Arabidopsis thaliana: one gene and its partners. The protein of the gene in region 4 interacts with the protein of the main gene of each other region in a pairwise test. Each region holds a gene or a part of one and is shown on either strand. Other genes may lie near its edges. The genes, in order: AT1G76210, UBC17, FMO and AO.

Region 1 (3,134 bases), on a different chromosome or scaffold from region 4:
TGATTTGTAGTTATCCTCGAGTTCACCTTTCATGTAACCATATAAGCATTGCTCAAACTACTTGACACTAATCTGGTTTTGGGTTTTGCTGCTAGGTCTCACTGAACCTTTGAAGATCATGACGAAAAAAGGATCGTCTCTTGTTTTTTTCTTAATTTTCAGCTTCATATGTCGAAATAAAGAGAACTGTGAAGAAGACGTGAATTGTTTTTGTACACAACTTTGTAAGACTTGCTGCTTCTGTTTTAAGTTACTACTTGTGTGTTGCACTTCCTGATCATGTTGTTATTTTGCTGTCAACAAATTAATTTGAAATAAAACGCATTGCGAGATTCGTGTTTTTAGATCCAGCCTCCAATGATACGAATTACAAAGAAACACTAGAAATTAGTTATATTCGCTGTGTTAAGTATACAAATTAACACTTACGAAACTGAATTTGTTAATGGTTTTTATAACTATATCTGAAAACCAAAAAAAATATGCAAAATCATCAAATTGAAAATGTCTATTCTAGCAACATGAATTGTGAATAAATAAACAAACATCTATAATTCAAATTTTACTTGAATAACAATTTCATTTTGACTCTATTTTTGGTGAAGACAAAAAGTGTGCCTTCAACTTCAAGTCTTTAATCCAAGTAGCCAGTTTAGGAAACGGGTAAAAAAATAAATTATATAGAATAAAAGAATTTGATGTTGCAAACTTGAAAATAAGTTTACAAATCAATCTATTTAATGTTAACTAAACATGTCCGCTTGAAGCAAAACCTAACCGATCCGGACATATCATATATTATCTAGTTGGTGAGAATATTAAGAAGTGAAACTCTCGTCTGAATCAATCGCCGGAAAATAGATTCCAACTCTATTTCAAGCTCCACTACAGTAATCTCCGCCGCCTCCAACCTCGTAGTCGCGCTTTGCACCGCAGTCTCGTCCCATTCATCATCTAACAAATAGGAAGACCGAATGGAAAAGATCGAAGACAAAGACCCTTTGCTCGATCTCTTCTCTAGCCAAGGAATACAACCAAGTGAGAACAAAGACTCAACCATCGTCACAACGACTCTTCTCACTTCCTTCAAAACTTCTGTGACAAACAGAAGGTTCTGTTCTATTGGCATGGCCACTCTTCCTTCGTTTCCTTTCATGTTCTTCAAACAGTTTAAGCATTTCAGTGTCTCCTTCTTGAGCTTGTTCTTATACCGATTATACGCAGCTATCTTCTCGTTGACATCAGATGATTCGTTGCCACGTAGAGTCAGTTGTAGATCTTGCAAGCTGTGTTTCACGAGCGTCATCACATCTTTGGATACGTTACAGATGTCTAACATCCTCAATGAAGCTTCTGAAACTTGTTCCGTCCATTTCTCTTGTCCTTGTTGAGACAGAGATTCTCTTGTTTTCGGACAGTGATGGAGGAGATAGTTTACGCAGTCGTGTAGCTCTCTCAAACCCTCAAAGTTAATCTGAGCCATAGATAGATCTTAATCTATTCGAGATACTTAGCTTTATGAATGTAAAAAAAGAATTTGAAAAGGTATTTTTTGATGTAATTGTGAATGGTTTTTAGGGCTTCTTGAGAGTTTTAAGCGAAGATTAGAGATATATTGAATGTGTGTAAGAATGAGATTATATATAGAGGTTAAGAAGGATCTGAGGGAAAGTACGATGAAGGTTCCCAAGTTTGGGTTTTTGTACGGACGTGGGACATCCGGGGAACAGCTCATTTTGGAGGTATTATCAAAACAATGATTTAAATGATTCAAAACATGTCACAAGGAACCTTCTTTGTACGTAAGAGGCACTCGTGGATTAGGGTACATTGTGGATTCGTTTAGATTTTCAATTTATAATATATAGTTTTAAAGATTTTTATTCTAATATATAGTCTTAAGGTTTAATTATATACTATATACCATGCATGCACGAGCGACGGTGCCAGGCTGTGTTGGTAAATTGCAACAATTTGGAACAGACGGACGAATATTAAATGAGATGAGAAATGTTTAGATTTTGGATCAGACTTTAAATATTATGTTAAGGGTTTGTCAGATATGTTTTATGTATCAAGTTAAATGGATATATTAATTACCAACAAGAAAGTAATATAAGTCTTACAGTAACAGAAAACAAATAATGGTAACTACTTGATCAATATGAATATATGATCAATAATCATTTTAAAACCGGAACTTATCTTTGGCAATACATGCGATTGTGACATTGTGTTACGTGTTAACCTCTCAATATATGTTTCTGGACAAGCGAAATATTCACAGTTTCACACAAATACCAATATACCTTTTCTATAACGTGGACAGTAATAATACGCATACATTAATACATATATGTTTATATGTCTAATTTCTCTATCAATCAGGTAACCACCTCGACGGCTCGACGCATGAATACATCCTGGATTAGATTTTATGTTTAAGATCTTTATATCTCAGGTTATTTTCAACAAATTAATATCTTCCCACAAATTATATAATTAGATTCATATCCCTCCAACTCCAAATGCTGAAATGCTTTCATTTTTATTATGTTGTTAGTGCAGCAATCTTATTATTCGATTTCCCGTTTGGAAGGTATAGCTACTAATTATAACGAATAATCAACCATGCATTATATTTTCTCTGTTGTCATCATCATGTAGAGACATTATTGCGTGATTAAAAAAAGAGAAATAAGAAGACATTATTGCGTGATTATAAAAACACACAGAGAAAATAAGACATTATTGCGTAATTTCTTTAGCTATTTTTTTTGCAAACAACCCATCAAACATAAAATAAAGCCCATGAAACTCAATTAATAAGCCCATTATCTCAAATTCATCCTTACTCTGTTTTGCAACAACTTCTGATAAGAAAACTGATACACTCATCAGTCTCATGATTGTATAACTATAAACTTATGAAATATTCATAGAGTACTGAAGTGATCTGCTGATAATTGTTATCTCGAACTCGTATTCTTGACAAGTAATCGTTTGAATATGATTTAAGAACGCTGCACACAAAGTTTTACAAGTTCTAAAGATCAATATGATCTGAGAGACTTTGCCTAAACTAAAGCCAACAATACTTCACAATGAACAAAATTACATCTATACAATCTCAA
Region 2 (3,318 bases), on a different chromosome or scaffold from region 4:
TTTGTAAGGGGAGTAAAGTTCTGAGCTTGACGTTGAGTTTCATGAAGGGCCTTTGAAGTTTCTTGTCGAAATGTACAGAGCAAGAGCAATTAGAATAGCTTTTGTAGTCTATTGGGAAACATGTGAAATTGCTTGGTCTATAAACACTTTTAGTAGGTATTCTAGCATCTGTATGATTCGTGTTTGCTTCATATGCTTAAGCTTTAGGTTTTGACATTGCAGGTGTTATTAAAATGGAGCATGAGCAAGAACAAATGAAGCTTCTGCTGAGTAGTCCTTCCTAGTGTTTATTACAAATGTAAGATGTGATGGAAAGTCATCAGCAGCTCTTTTCTTTAGAGATAGAAACAGATTTTTGTCTTCTATCAAATATACACGAAGGCTTGTTAGAAGCAAAGTTCTCTCTTCTTTGGATCAATCATTCTCTCAGTTCTTGGTTTGTACTAACAGTTGATGATTTCTTTCATATAATAATGAATCATGTTATTTCCAAATTTTCAAGTTTTATGCTCAAGCTTTTCGTATGGTTAAACTGTAGAAAGAAGCTGTTCTTGTTTTAAAGATAGCAACAGATCAAGAACTCGACCTGAGATCTTACAATTCGTTTGTAATCACAATATTATAGGAGATGTTATACTTTATCGTCATGGAAACGCCACCTAGTTTCTTTGGGAGATCTTCCATGTTTGCAGTTTTTCAAGTAATGGTCATTGTCTTTCGGCTTTTGCTGTAAGGAGAGAACAATAAACATCATAAGAAGAAGATTATTCTGTGAAAGCCTTTGAAATATGAGAAGAAGATAAAACACACAAACCTTCACGGATGAGCTGGAGAGCATTGAGAGAATGCTGAGACAGATGGAACTTAGTCTCATCGCCGGTGACCACGAATCATACAAGACATCTGCATAATCAAAAGAACACATAGAAGGGTCTTGTCATTGGACTTTGAAACAGAGTGAGTCATTGTGTTTGTATGTACTTACCTAAACAAATGTGACCGTTGCTGTAAATATGAGGATGAAGTGGAGCTGGATGCTGAAAGATAACCTGTTTTATATGTGGAACCATCGGGTTATGAGATTGATGCGATGATTAAGTATCGTTAAGTATTAACAAAAGGAGTTAGAGGACGAACCTGTGGAGCTTCCATAGGATAATGCTCAGGGAACTCAACTTGAAGTTGGTAAGTTTCATTGGCGTAAAGAGTTCCTGGAACTCCATGCACTTCAATGATCCATCTGTTTACACCAACAATTCAACATTACATCACCGATTATCAATATTCGAAGGAAAGACAATAAAATGATTATGTACCGTTGGAGATTATCAGAGACTCTGTGCTTGAAACCAGAAGGAGGATTGGTTTGCCACTCCATGAACTCTTTCTGCAACCGGTTCGTGGCGATTTTGGTCAGACCCTAACATAGTAAGAACAAGAGAGAGATGATCAAACCAAAGACAACAATGGAATTATAACCAAAAAGGTACTGTTATATTTAGTTAAAGAAACAATTAACCAACCTTGCGAGTTGATTCAGAAGAACTCGTCATTTGTGTTTATTACAGTGAGTGTGAGAGAGAGAGATTGTGTGTGTTTTGTCTCCTTAGCCATATCCAGTGAGCTTTTTATAGTGTCTTATCATCTTTGCAATGTGTCTAAAGCGTTTGGGTCTATGTCCAGTCATCAATCCGACGTCGTTTTTATTGTGTCGGCTCTCTTTAATCCGGGACTTTCCACTTGTGTTGGAGAAGCGAATCTTACACGCTTTTGCTACTCTCGCGATCATGATCAAACCAGTTAGGAATATTATCATAAAACATTCCAATATCTATTTCGGAAAACCAAATTTCTTAAATTAAAAATCTCATACCATTATGAATATCTGAGTTATGTAAATTTTAGGATAACCAAACTGATGCATGCATATTATTGATATTAACCAAAAATAAGAATTGATACATGCATCAGGTAAAAGTTGGCTTGTAACATTATTTTAATTTATTTCCGGTTTATGGATCCATCATTCAACGATGCCTTGGATTTTTAGCGATGATATATTGCTTTCATTGTCTTATTGCCCTTGTCCTTCTGATTATTTTGAATGGATCGATGGTTACAAAAGTTGTAAGCAACTTGATTATATATCAAAACTGACTAGTCATAATTACAATTATGATGCATGATGTTGTTGTATGCATTGGCTTCACCTTAAACCAAAACTTGTACACATTTGTTCCATGGAAACTATGGTCTATGAACTATGGTAATACGGATCTTATATTCCTATCTAGTTAGGTCCAACTTAGGTCTCAGAAGAATATATACTTGGTAGAACTTAGAACAAATATGTTAAAATCTATAGCTTATCTCTTAAATTAGAGAAGTTAGTTAGACTTATACAAATCAATCGGACCAGATATTATTCCGGTTTATCTGACCGATCTGGTTTCTCCTAGTAAGACATTAAAGAAAGGTAATACATGAAGTAAAAACAGAACTATGGGGAAAAATAAAAATAAAGTCTTTTTGTGAACAAAATAAGAAAATCCATTACAACAGAAATTCCAAGAATAGAAAGATATTATGTGAAGATTCTTGAAAATACTATTATTATAGATTATCTTTTCGAGTTTTGGTCTACATACACTGCAAATTTTAACTTTAAATACACGTAAGATCAATAGGTTTAGATTCTTTCTTATCCTTTACTAAAAAGATATTAAAACAAGGTAACAACAACAACAACAACAAAGAAGAAGAAGCGAAGCATATACACTTTTGAGTTTAAAGACTTTTTAATCAGCACTTGTATTTTTGTTCCTTTGCATCAATCATATCGCTCAAACTTGGCTGCTCATGTTCCAAATTCCTGTTTGAAGAATCATCTCATCACCACCCTTGCATTCGCCGAAAAAAGAATGTCAATGATTCCAAAGTAAAAGATGATGATTCTTCACTTTTGACGTTGGAAGAGCATTCATAGATAGAAAGATAGATGCTTTCAATAATTTCGGTGCGTAATCATAAAGCATAATAATCTTTTACCTTAGTTGGAGAAGAGAGAGTGAGGAAGAACTTTGTAAGGGTTGAGAATTCCCTTTGGGTCCAGCAACTTTTTAATGGAAGCCATTAATGCAACCTGCATAATATTATATTCCGGTAAGAATAGAGTGACACGATAGTTCTATACATAGTTTCCATACGTTGTTTGTTGTTAACTTACAGTTTCGGGTGATTTGCTGTAGAAGATTTCATTAGCTTTCATTACACCTAATCCATGTTCCGCACTGATGCTTCCACGGTGCTTTGATGTCC
Region 3 (5,062 bases), on a different chromosome or scaffold from region 4:
TTAGTAAACTCACAAGCAACATTTCCATTTTTTCTACGAGAAATATAGATATAGCACTTTTATTCGTAGAGACAATTCATCAAACAAGTGGTGTGCACATTGGAATTGATCATAGTATGTAACTCAACACTAGCGAACCAAACGCTAGACCAACTGAAACATAAACACAAACACAAACAACCATCTTTGCAACCTCAAAACAACAAACCCAATCCTATAGAATTGTAAAAAGATGATTACTTGTCTAAGAGAATGACCACGCTCCAGAATCCAGTCTCCTCATGAATGAATCTCTTTAATGAGAAATCTTAACTTTGTGTTCCTATGTATGCATTTGCTCTGTTCTCGTCAAAACAAGTGACAACAAAGAAAGATCTGTTTATTTTGCCCTGTTTTCATGCTCTGTTTTTGTATCCGTGTCATATTAAGCAATGTTGTTACTACTAATGTTTAATGGAATATTTTCTTTTAGAAATGGAATTGATAATAATAATAATATATATTCTGTGAAAAGAAAGAAAAAAAATAGATTTAGTGGGTCCGTGTAACACAGCAAACAAGTCAAGTCGTCTTCAGAAAGTTACAAGTGCACACTGACGTCATGGATGATGAGTGCACAATCATGCAAATGGGAAATTTGCTTTTTTCGCTAATGAAAGTCTCATCGCATTATTTACATACCTTTATAAAATCATTCCAAACATTATTGTTATACATTCCTTTTAAGACTATAACTCTACTTTTTCACATTCTGAAACACAGCAACCACAAGACACACTTACAATTACATAACATATATATATATATATATATATACCCAACCATCATTTTCGCATAACAAAACTCCCACGTCAATTATCATTAGGTTTTGAGCATCGGCAAAAGTTCTTGATAACTTGACATGAATTTGACGAAATCATCGTATGCTTCTACGATGAGATGATCATCGTCCCAATTATCTCTATATGTAGAGGATTGTGCATATATTCTCTTGAAACCGATGTAAAACATTTGTTCTCTCCATTTCTCTATCCGGGGATATTCACATTGATCCGCAAGCCAATTGTCGTATTCAAACTGCAACAACAATTCAACCAAAAATTTGTTTAGTCTCAACCTTTTTTTTTTTTTATGATAACATGTTTTGTAATGTAATGTTGTGCTACGAAATATGTGTACCTGAGAGTCATCTGGCATCAAATGTGTATATCTTTTGGGAATTCCCGAGGCTTCTAGCTTATCGTAGAATGCCTTAGTGTCTTCCATCATCTCGTCTTGCGATGGGAGAGATACTCGGCCGGACAAGACCGCTGCGACCCACTTGCTTTGAAGCTCAAACATCGGAAAGGGAGTGATCTAAGAAACCAAGTTAAACCAATGAGATCTTTTTTTTTTTTTTTTTTTTTGTGTGCACCTCAACCAAACAATGAGATCATATGCAATAAAAGCAGCAAATGTATTCACAGAAGCCAGATCATAAACATTATAAAGATTATTAACCTGCCATGGTAAGCCGATGAACGAAAGGCTGGGGGCAAGAGCTGGAGGAAAAACATGCTTATACAACGGTCCAACACGATTATCGTCAACAGTCACCTCACCTTTCGTGTCAAGAAACGGGAAGTAATACTTGTACCTGATGAAGATATTAACAAGATAAAAACAAGTCAGTGAAAACGTTTTCAAATTTCCTATGTTCTGTGTTCTGATGTTTAATCTCTTTTAGAGATTTGAGCCGATATGTATCTTACCCGGTACAATGCATGATGGTATCCGCGTAAATTGTCTTTCCATTCTCGAAAACCACCGAACCGTCTTCGCGGGCAATTTGAATCTACAATGAACGTTGTAACCTATATTATATCATTCAACCGTCTTATAGATGGAGTAACTGAATTATCAAACAACCAACATCATTCATTGGCCGGTTAGTTAGTGTACCGTTGAGTGAAGCCATAGATTCTCGTAACCGGTAAGCTTCTCGTAAGTATCCGGTGAAGTTGATCTAGATGATACGTGGACTTCTTTCGCGACCTGCGCTATATCTCTGCATATATCAACTCCACTCGCAGAGCTTCCGATCACTATCACCACCTACAAATTACACAACAAAAAGGAAACGATCCAAGAGTTAAAAGTGAAGAGAAACGTGGATATATATGAGATCACGTACAAGATTCACTCTAGTGATGGGATTCTTCTGCAAGTACCTGATCTTTGAATTGGTCAGGAACACGGTAATTGTGGCTGTGAATCTGCTTGCCTGGCCATGAATCTATGCCTGAAAAAAAAAAAAATATTATTCCCAAATGAAAACCTAAATATTGATATTGTTTGACGAATAATCCATCCCTCAAGAAAACTCTGTTTTTAATTGAATTCTTACTATTTTAAACTAATTTTCTTTATGTGAAATTTTTTTAAACCTATCATATTACGACAAAATTCTTTTTAATTGAACATATAAAATACACAAACTCAAGACACAAGTAAGGTTTTGCTTATTACCAGTGATAAGAGCATGACGAGGCTCGGTATAGTGTCCGTTACAAACCACAACGGCGTCGTATATCTCGTCGACAACACCATCGGAGCTTCTCGATTCAACCCTCCACTTCCCTCTCTCCTCCCCCTCTGCCGCCACCTGCTCCGCCTTAACAACCTCCGTCTCGAACCTAACCATTTCCTCGATATCGAATTCTTTAGCAAAGTCTCGCAGGTAAGCAAGAACCTCAGTATGAGCCGGATGTCTTCTCGGATCCCTTGACCCGTCGTGTGGTCGGGTCGCAAAAGGGAAGTCGGTGAAGCCCATGCATTCTCGAGGGATGTTGGTACGTAGGGATCTGTAGAGGCTTGAGTGGACGACGGGTCGGGTCGGGTCGAGGCTAAGCGGGTCTGGTTCGACTTGAGAGGTGTAAGCCCACACGCCTCCGATTTGGCTCCCGCGCTCTAAGACGACTACTGAGTGGCCTTCACGACGTAGCTCACGAGCAGCTACGAGTCCAGCGGCTCCGGCTCCGATTACTGCCACGTGGCGAGAGGTGGTTGGATCAGGATGACTCGTTGCCATGTTAGGTTATAGTGAAGTTTTGTGATCTAATGAAGAAAGATGAAGAGATTGTAAATTTGTAATGTTAACGAAGAGAGAATTGAGGTGATGGTGTGTTTCGATTATAACGATGTGTATATTATATACGAGGAAAAAGGTAACTCTAACGATGACGTGTCACTTCAGTGTGGACAATTCTTCCGTAATCTCGTAGGAATATTAAACTCAATTAAGTAGGTAGCATACCTTCAGGCTTGAGAGTCATGTTTAGTTGTTTTTATCAGAGAATATAAAGAACTTAATGAATTTTGTATCACTCTAAAAGTGACTATAAAACTTGTAGTTACATAAAAAAATTAGAATCTATCACTGATCTACCAGAATTTGAACTAAAACTGATTATCAAATTTGAAGATATTCAGATAAAATTTTGCAATTACATTTTATGGGATTTGTTACAAAAAAAACATGATATAGAGCTTTAAATCATTTGATCAAGTGGATGTGCTTCCACAATTTTTAATGAAAAATGATTGAATTAACATTAATTAAGCTTTAATGATTCATTGTAATTAACTTTCCTTTATATGTATCTTTTTTAGTTTTTGAAGAAGACTGGTTACTTCTTTTAAAGTGCAGCCCAATGTATCTATCACCCAACAGTGTCCAGGATCATGTGTACTATTCAACATGGTATACCAAAAAAGAAACTTTTTCTGTTATAATATGTGTAGGAATAAATATATTTATGTAGATTGGCATCATAAAATATTCCTATCAGTATTCACATCATATAAACTAATATCGTTGCATATATATGCACAAATATCTAATTTTCTTACCAAGAATAATATTTATTTATAAATTAGAAAATATATTCAACAATTTGTTTATCCCAGACTATGAGTAATATCCCAAATTTAGAAAACAAAAATTGTTTCTAAAGTTTGCACAGCTTCTTTTTTTTAAAAACCTTTCCAATCAATGATTTAGCTAACTATTGTTTGATCTGGGGGAACATTTTTTTTTTCTTTCTGAAAGGGCTAATATATGAACATTTTAATGTATAGACACATCGGTTATCTCTCTTTTGTAATATATGCCTAATAGAAGAGATCAAGAGAAAAGATAAGACATTTTTAATTTTTATGTCCCATAACATATTCTTTATAGCAAAAATATAAAAGTAATTGAAAAGTAAACTAAAATATTATTCGAATAGTTTTGTGAAATCAGTTTATTTATATAATATAAGTAGTACTTAAAAGGTCTGTTTTCAGATTATAAATAGTAAGTTTTATATACTTACATCTCAAAATATTGAAAGTGAGCTTTCTTTTACGATTTAAATTAAGTTTGATCATGTATATTTGGTTTTAGTTCAAAAATAAAATACATAAAATTAAGTTTACTGTTTGAGTATATATATTATAAAATTAGTAAAAAGCTATGAGGAGACGGCAAATATGAAATGACTACGTCATTGTTCTTTGAAAATTATGGACGCCAAATCGGAAAAATATCCATCAAGTTGCAAACAAACCCTTTACCAAAGTAGTTTGAAAAATGGAAACGACGTCTCTATTTTATCTTCTTCATTTGCTTTATGGACACTTTTGCCTTTTGGACAAAACACTACAACCGTAGATTATATATTTATATCAAACCTCTTGGAACTTCACAAAGACTAATCTACCAATTAGGTTTTCGCTTAGGTATGGTCGAATTGTTGTACATATATATTCTTTTTTTTTTTTTTTTTTAAATCTAAAGATTAGATGTTTTATATATTTTCATATATATTTTTAAAAATATACTACTTAATTTGTAATTTTAATGTGTTTTTGTAGTTGTTTATGCAACAATTTGTTTTTTGGTATGTCTTTTTTTTTTCTTTTGTGCAAAACTTTTTTTTGGTATGTCTTAAAACGAACATATTTCGTTTTCTCAGACCAAAATGCAATTTAAGCGACAATTAAAGTGAGGAATTTGTAGCCGATGATGTGAGAGGGA
Region 4 (6,424 bases):
TACTTCTTCACATTGTAATTCAGGATATCTTTATTCTTTGTTAAATCAAATTGCACGAGCCAAAACTATCTCCTGAAAATACCCTTTGAATTTCATTGTAGCAGAACGGCGATGGCAGCTGCAGAGCAGGCAAGACTTATGATCTAGCTGGTTTCTGGATGTAACTAGTAACTAGGCTGTTCTAAAGCGACATTGCAGAAGAGATCTCTGATTATTAATGGATGTGCCTTTGTGCAGCCTTCTCAGATCACACCCTGGTCTAGTTGAAGAAGACAGGAAGAATGAATTCATGTTTGGTCTGGTCATGGAAGCCATACCCGAGCTTGGAGCTCGTGATTTCCTCAGGAGAAGGATAGAAGCTTTTGGAATGATTTACTCAGAAAAAAAAGGAACCGAGGATATGGAGTCAGTGAACACAAGACTGTTCTCAATCCTGCTTCTTGCTTGGGAAATCCACACTCACAGTTGTTTCTTTCATTCAGAAAGTCATCAATAAACCATAACAAAGGAATTGAAATATGAATTACCAATATGATTGATATCTCAAATGAATAATTTATTTCCTTTTGTATTACAGAGTGTCAGAATCAGAGATTCCTTTTGAGATCCAAATTTTTTCAAATTGATACAATAATCAGAGAGGTTTGGATTCAAATAAGAACAAAAACTCCTGCAGTTTTAGCAATCAATAAGTGAGCTGCTACTTATATTCTGTAACCGCCTTGAGCTCCAACTAGCTGTTGTAGGAGAAGACGGTAGAATAATCGTCGGAATCCGCTTGCTTTCTTCCACAAAAGGAAAGTCTGTCATGTAATGAAGACCTCTGCTTTCATGTCTAGCTAACGCGCTGCTCACCACAAGCTTAGCGCAACAGAACAAGTTTCTCATCTCACAAGCTTCAAGAGCTACCACTGTTTGTTCCCATCCATGTTCAAACAAAAATGTTTCCCATTTTGCTTCTAGCTCTGCGATTTTCCTCTCAGCAGTGGTGAGCCGAATTGTCGATCTGACAATACCAACATACTTCCACATTACCTCCTGAAGCTCTCTTCTCACTTCTTTAGTCAAAGCTATAATCTTTGCTATTACTTCATCTCCTAGCAATCTAGCTGTCGCAACAACAGGCCTTGTCCATTTCTCTGATGCGCATACATCAAGTCTTGTGCGTTTCATGAGCTCAGTCGAAGGCTGAACAGCCCGTCTCGCGAAAACCAGAGCTTCTAAAAGCGAGTTACTAGCAAGACGATTTGCCCCGTGGAGGCCTGTACATGCTACTTCACCTGCTACAAACAATCCAAGGACATTGGTTTCGCCTTGTAAACCAGCACGAACTCCTCCACACATGTAATGGGCTGCAGGGACAACCGGAATAGGCTGACGGGTGATATCCAGACCGTGTTTAAGACATTCAGAAGCTATGTTCGGGAAATGGGCAAGAATCTTTTCTCTTGGCTTATGGCTTATGTCAAGTAACACATACTTTTCGTTTCGTTTCTTAAGCTGGTCATCAATACTTCTTGCAACCACGTCTCTTGGAGCAAGCTCAGCTCGTTCATCGTAAACAGGCATGAATCGCTCCATTCCTAGATTATAGAGGATGCCACCATCACCTCTCACCGCCTCGGTGATGAGGAACGCGTTTTCCCTAGCAGTTTGTAGTTTGATGGGAAGACCTTCGTCGGCTAGGGCAGTAGGATGAAACTGCACAAATCTAACCAAAAACAAATACAAAACATAAGTTTATTGTCAACAAGTTTCTTCAGTCGGTTTTTCGGTGTTCACTTACTCCATATTTGAGATCACAGCTTGAGCTCGATGAGCCATCGCCATCCCATCTCCAGTAGCCACCTATACAAAAACCATGTCGATAATTAAAATGGAGCATAATATATCACTTTTAGAGAAATATCATTGCGACTAGCACAACCGAATTTAGCAAAAAAATGTACTCTATGACTAAAATCTCTTTGTTTCTGCAACTGTTTGAACTATTAAATCTAAAACTCTAATGCAGTATGTTTGTGTATACCCGTGATAATTTCGACATTTTCTTTTGTATTCAAGGGATAAATCACATTACTTAATCAAAGTTTCATTTTTGGATATTTCCCATAAACACACAAAACTGTTGTGTTGATCCTGCACATTCTTTCTTCTGATAAAATTGGTAAAATGAAACTTCCATAGAGCTTTGTTAAAAAGAGAGTCTATAGAAAATGTTACCAGAGGATTTGTGGTTGATGGATAGATATGCCCAGCTCCACCTGAAGCAAGCAATGTCACCTTCGATATAAAGCGTACTACCTGAAGAAACATGAGTTTTTTTTACATTACAATCTAAGATATAAGGTGAATGATCAAACCACCAGAAACAAGATCTTTGTGTACCTCATTAGTTTTGATATTCAAAGTGTCCACACCATGACAAACTGTGTTCAAGCCATCCTGTTAAGATACAAAAAGATATGATCTGATAAGCCAATTGATCATATATGCACATGTGTTTTTCAAGGGTGTGAAGTGGAACCTGAGAAGTGAGCAGATCGATTGCAAAATGGTGTTTGAAGACAGATATGTTGGGATCATTAAGTACAGCTTCAAGTAAAGCTCTCTCAATCTCTCTTCCTGTCATATCAGCAGCGTGAACGATCCTACAATGCGAGTGACCACCCTCTCTGGCCAAATGCAAATTTCCATCCTCGCCGTGATCAAATGATGCTCCCATTGCAATCAGTTCACGAATCCTTTCAGGCCCTTCAGTACACACAACCTGAAAAAGAACATTCAGATACAGAAAAGTGAGACAGGTTTAGACCATTACAAAATGCTTATGCACGAGACTAACACAAGCACTTATCAAACAGTTTTGAGGTAATGATCAGCAACAAAGGGAACTTACTCTTACGGTTTCTTCATCACAAAGATGAGCACCAGCGACCATAGTGTCCCGCATATGACTTTCAACAGAATCCAAAGGGCATAACACAGCACTAACACCACCTTGAGCATAGTTTGTGTTACTCTCATGAGGCTCATCTTTGGTAATCACTGCGACTGTTCCTTGCTTTGCAACTTCTAAAGCATAACGCAGACCCGCTACTCCACTACCAATCACAGTGAAATCATAATACTTTGTTGAAGAAGATACCGAAACAGCCCTGATAGGTTTTGAGGTCTCACTGATGGGGGAAATACCACGAGAGTAACAACCACATCTCTCAGCTTTTAGAGCCTTAAATACCCCACTTGACCTATATGCACACAGAGATTATAAAAGTTTGAGTCCAGCATGAGAAACTATAGGTCTAACTAGTTAAAGTTCTACATGAGAACAAAGAGCAAAATCATAAATGAGAAACATGAACCTCAAAATGCCAATTGCTACACAAAAGGGACAAAATTTGGGATTAAAGATTAAAAGAAGTGATACCAAGAGGGCTCTTTGAATGGATTTGCCATGAAAGTAGAAGCAGAACTCCATGAAAAAGCTTGTCCCCTGTAAACCTGCCCCGCAAGATAGAAATTATGAATGTTTCCAGTAGAAACATGAGCCGCCATTTCCGACCTTAAAGCTCCTACAAAAACATGAAGATTGTTGTCATAAGAAAACATCATCAAAACAAAACAAGAAACATTCTTTCTGTACAATATAAAATCAAAATGCATAGATCCATCATCCATGATGCTCAAAATCCAAAATTTGATTGAAGAACGATGAGAATTGAGGACAATGTGTTACTCAAAATCCAACAATAACCTTTTTTATATCGAAACTTCTGAAATGAACAACGATAGAAAAAAAGACATAAGAAATATCGCAACCGTTGTCTGAATTCTGGAATTTAGGAGCAGAGGAAAGAATTAAAAAAAAATGTGTAGACTAGATCACACAAAATTCAGAATCTACGTTGAAATGAAACCAAGTAATGAGAAACGCAGAAATCTTACGGAATCACGGGAGGGAGCTCTCTGATCTAAGCACGAAACGGAGAACCCACGCGAGTGTAGATCAATAAAACGTGATTCAGACTTGATTAAAAAAACGACTTTTCGCAAAGAAACAATCAAAATTACGACGAAGAAGAAGAAGAAGAGGAGAAGGAAATGAACGAAGACAACACAAATTCTGGTAAGAGTGTTTTATGTGGTTTGGTCGTCGAGAAGAGTCCTTGAAATTCGCGCCTTCGTTTTGTGTATGGGAGCCTCCCCCAAGTGGTGTTGTTGGTCTTTCTTTATTCTTCTCTTTTGTCACTTTTTATGTCTTTGGGATCTTCATTTTTCATTGGCCTTCTTCAGTTTTTCTTTTATCACATAAAAAAAAAAGTACTTCTATGAAATAAACTTTTAATAAAAAATGGAATTTATTACTGAGTTAAAAAAAATTGGAATTTATTACTAGGCGTGGATTTTTAAAAAATTAGTGTATAAGATGATAATTTACTTATAGAATATTTCCCAGCTTTCTTCTACAAATATACACATTAATAAAGCCATTGACCCTACAAATATTCAAGTTTATTAGCCCTGTGGTTCATAATTTTTTAATATTAAGAACATTTATATATAAATAACAACGGTAGCTCAAGATGTGTGACCATGATTTTCCAAAACTAAAACTAAAAAAATAAATAAAGCAAATTAAATTTAAAAGAATTCTAACAACTTGTATAGAACTTTAAATATGTGTTCATACATGCACCAAGCATGACCGACTAGAAGAATCATGGAAAAAGAACATTCACTTTTCCATGACTCGTGGCCAATGCAAATCTCCAACGGCCACAACTATTTATTTCTATAACTATAATTTCTGGAAAAAGAAAAAAAAAATGGAGAAAAACTATTTGGATTTTGGAGTCTTCTTTTGAGTCTTTTTTTATACTTTTGATTTGTAAGTGGTGGCTTCTGAATTTTCCATCAGACAACTGAAAAAAACCTAACGAATAATAAAAATCAATAATATAAGACCGAATTATGATAACCATTCAAATGACAACTGAAAGAAAACAAATTAATTAAATAATAAAATTTCAAAAACCACGAATGCAATTTAAAAGGGAAAATGTTGGCATTTTTATGGCTATCATAATTTCCTTCTTTTCTAACTAAACATAGTGCTAATGGTTTGCTTAACTAATCAGGTATAACATCCACAATTGATGACATCCTCATTTGCTTCTATCGGAATAAACTGATTATCATTTGCTTCATCATCTTTAGACCTATGCTATTTTGGACCAGTCATGGTGTTGATGTATGCATCAAGGATGGCCTTATAACTAGAATCATGGGGAAAAAAGAACAATCACTTTTCCATGAGCCTTGCTAAATCTCCAATGGCCACAATTATTTTATTTTCTACAAAACTTACTGGAAATCACTTTGAGTCTTTTAGTTTTGACTACCGTTTTTAAGGGGAGAGATGACTTCTTCTGGATTTTTTATCGGACAACAAAAACGAATAATTAAAATTGGGCTTTTGAAAGGCGGGCCCAATACTGACCTAAGATTTTGCATGGAAATAAGCCCTGGATTTTCCAGAGGCCTAAATTAAACCCGAATCATCATGCAATTAGAATTGTTCAGCCCATAAATTTTTAATTTTTTCACACACATGAGCCGATGGCATTTCGTTGTGCTTCTTACTGAATTTCACGTCACGACTAAAACCTAGAAAATCAGCGAAACACATTAGCAAATACTAATGTTCGTCTCGTAGTTAGTCAATATCTTATTGGTAAAACTCGCACATATGTAAAAGAGCAGTGTCCTAGTTGTTCCTTCTAATGATATAAGATCATTTCCGCAAATCAAATTGCAGTTTCACCACGTAAATTAATGATAGAACCTCAACAATATAATTAGTATCAATAAGAATTAGCTATATTTATCATATTATATAATTAACATAAATAAAGTCTATTTAAATATATCATTTAGTTCGTAGCATAAATCATTACATGATTTTGAAAAGATGGTAAACTTGTGAATCACAAATTCCTTGGCCATGTATAGAATATCAAACCTGATATTAGAATCAAACAAAATTAAATGATAAGATTGTGAATAAATGAGTGTTAGGTACTTAGGTCCATCAAATTCCTCAATCATACATTCTACGACATAATTAATTATAACATTTATATGTAAAAATACACACTCCTCTTATATAGTTATGACAATAAAATGTTGTATATAAAATTACTACCCCTCTTATATATTGCCTCAACTTCCAGCGTTAAGAGTTTAATATGTCTAGAATTTTAAATGTGCCAGCTATATCAAAATATCATTGCCTCTGTTTTTCTTTCATTAGGAAGAAATATTTTTTTTAAAAAAACCATGTACAAGTATCATTGGATATGTGATATGCCCAAATAGATCATTCGAATTTTGTATGCAGAAAACTCTAATTCTTAGTTAT

The links.
Region 1: the proteins of AO (region 4) and AT1G76210 interact in a two-hybrid assay, tested with the Arabidopsis thaliana proteins (one large-scale study listed by BioGRID).
Region 2: the proteins of AO (region 4) and UBC17 interact in a two-hybrid assay, tested with the Arabidopsis thaliana proteins (one large-scale study listed by BioGRID).
Region 3: the proteins of AO (region 4) and FMO interact in a two-hybrid assay, tested with the Arabidopsis thaliana proteins (one large-scale study listed by BioGRID).

What each region holds. Positions count from the first base shown.
Region 1 is NC_003070.9:28,594,400-28,597,533, forward strand, and holds AT1G76210 (DUF241 domain protein, putative (DUF241)), read right to left. Parts: upstream 1,598-3,134; 5' UTR 1,484-1,597; coding exon 803-1,483; 3' UTR 551-802; downstream 1-550. Other genes in the region: AT1G76220 (hypothetical protein (DUF241)), read right to left, coding at 3,131-3,134.
Region 2 is NC_003075.7:17,200,204-17,203,521, reverse strand, and holds UBC17 (ubiquitin-conjugating enzyme 17), read right to left. Parts: upstream 1,601-3,318; 5' UTR 1,554-1,600; coding exon 1,524-1,553; intron 1,421-1,523; coding exon 1,317-1,420; intron 1,241-1,316; coding exon 1,138-1,240; intron 1,050-1,137; coding exon 986-1,049; intron 904-985; coding exon 815-903; intron 728-814; coding exon 632-727; 3' UTR 534-631; downstream 1-533. Other genes in the region: D2HGDH (FAD-linked oxidases family protein), read right to left, coding at 3,050-3,142, 3,227-3,318. UniProt on the Arabidopsis thaliana protein: Accepts the ubiquitin from the E1 complex and catalyzes its covalent attachment to other proteins.
Region 3 is NC_003070.9:4,135,635-4,140,696, reverse strand, and holds FMO (Flavin-binding monooxygenase family protein), read right to left. Parts: upstream 3,187-5,062; 5' UTR 3,071-3,186; coding exon 2,509-3,070; intron 2,282-2,508; coding exon 2,211-2,281; intron 2,095-2,210; coding exon 1,942-2,094; intron 1,835-1,941; coding exon 1,752-1,834; intron 1,637-1,751; coding exon 1,501-1,636; coding exon of another isoform or gene 1,357-1,500; coding exon 1,180-1,356; intron 1,078-1,179; coding exon 862-1,077; 3' UTR 539-861; downstream 1-538. UniProt on the Arabidopsis thaliana protein: Catalyzes the conversion of methylthioalkyl glucosinolates of any chain length into methylsulfinylalkyl glucosinolates.
Region 4 is NC_003076.8:4,766,267-4,772,690, reverse strand, and holds AO (L-aspartate oxidase), read right to left. Parts: upstream 4,429-6,424; 5' UTR 3,949-4,428; intron 3,576-3,948; 5' UTR 3,559-3,575; coding exon 3,431-3,558; intron 3,252-3,430; coding exon 2,900-3,251; intron 2,771-2,899; coding exon 2,528-2,770; intron 2,446-2,527; coding exon 2,389-2,445; intron 2,305-2,388; coding exon 2,224-2,304; intron 1,849-2,223; coding exon 1,787-1,848; intron 1,712-1,786; coding exon 679-1,711; 3' UTR 538-678; downstream 1-537. UniProt on the Arabidopsis thaliana protein: Catalyzes the oxidation of L-aspartate to iminoaspartate. Can complement nadB-deficient E.coli mutant. Plays a role in stomatal immunity.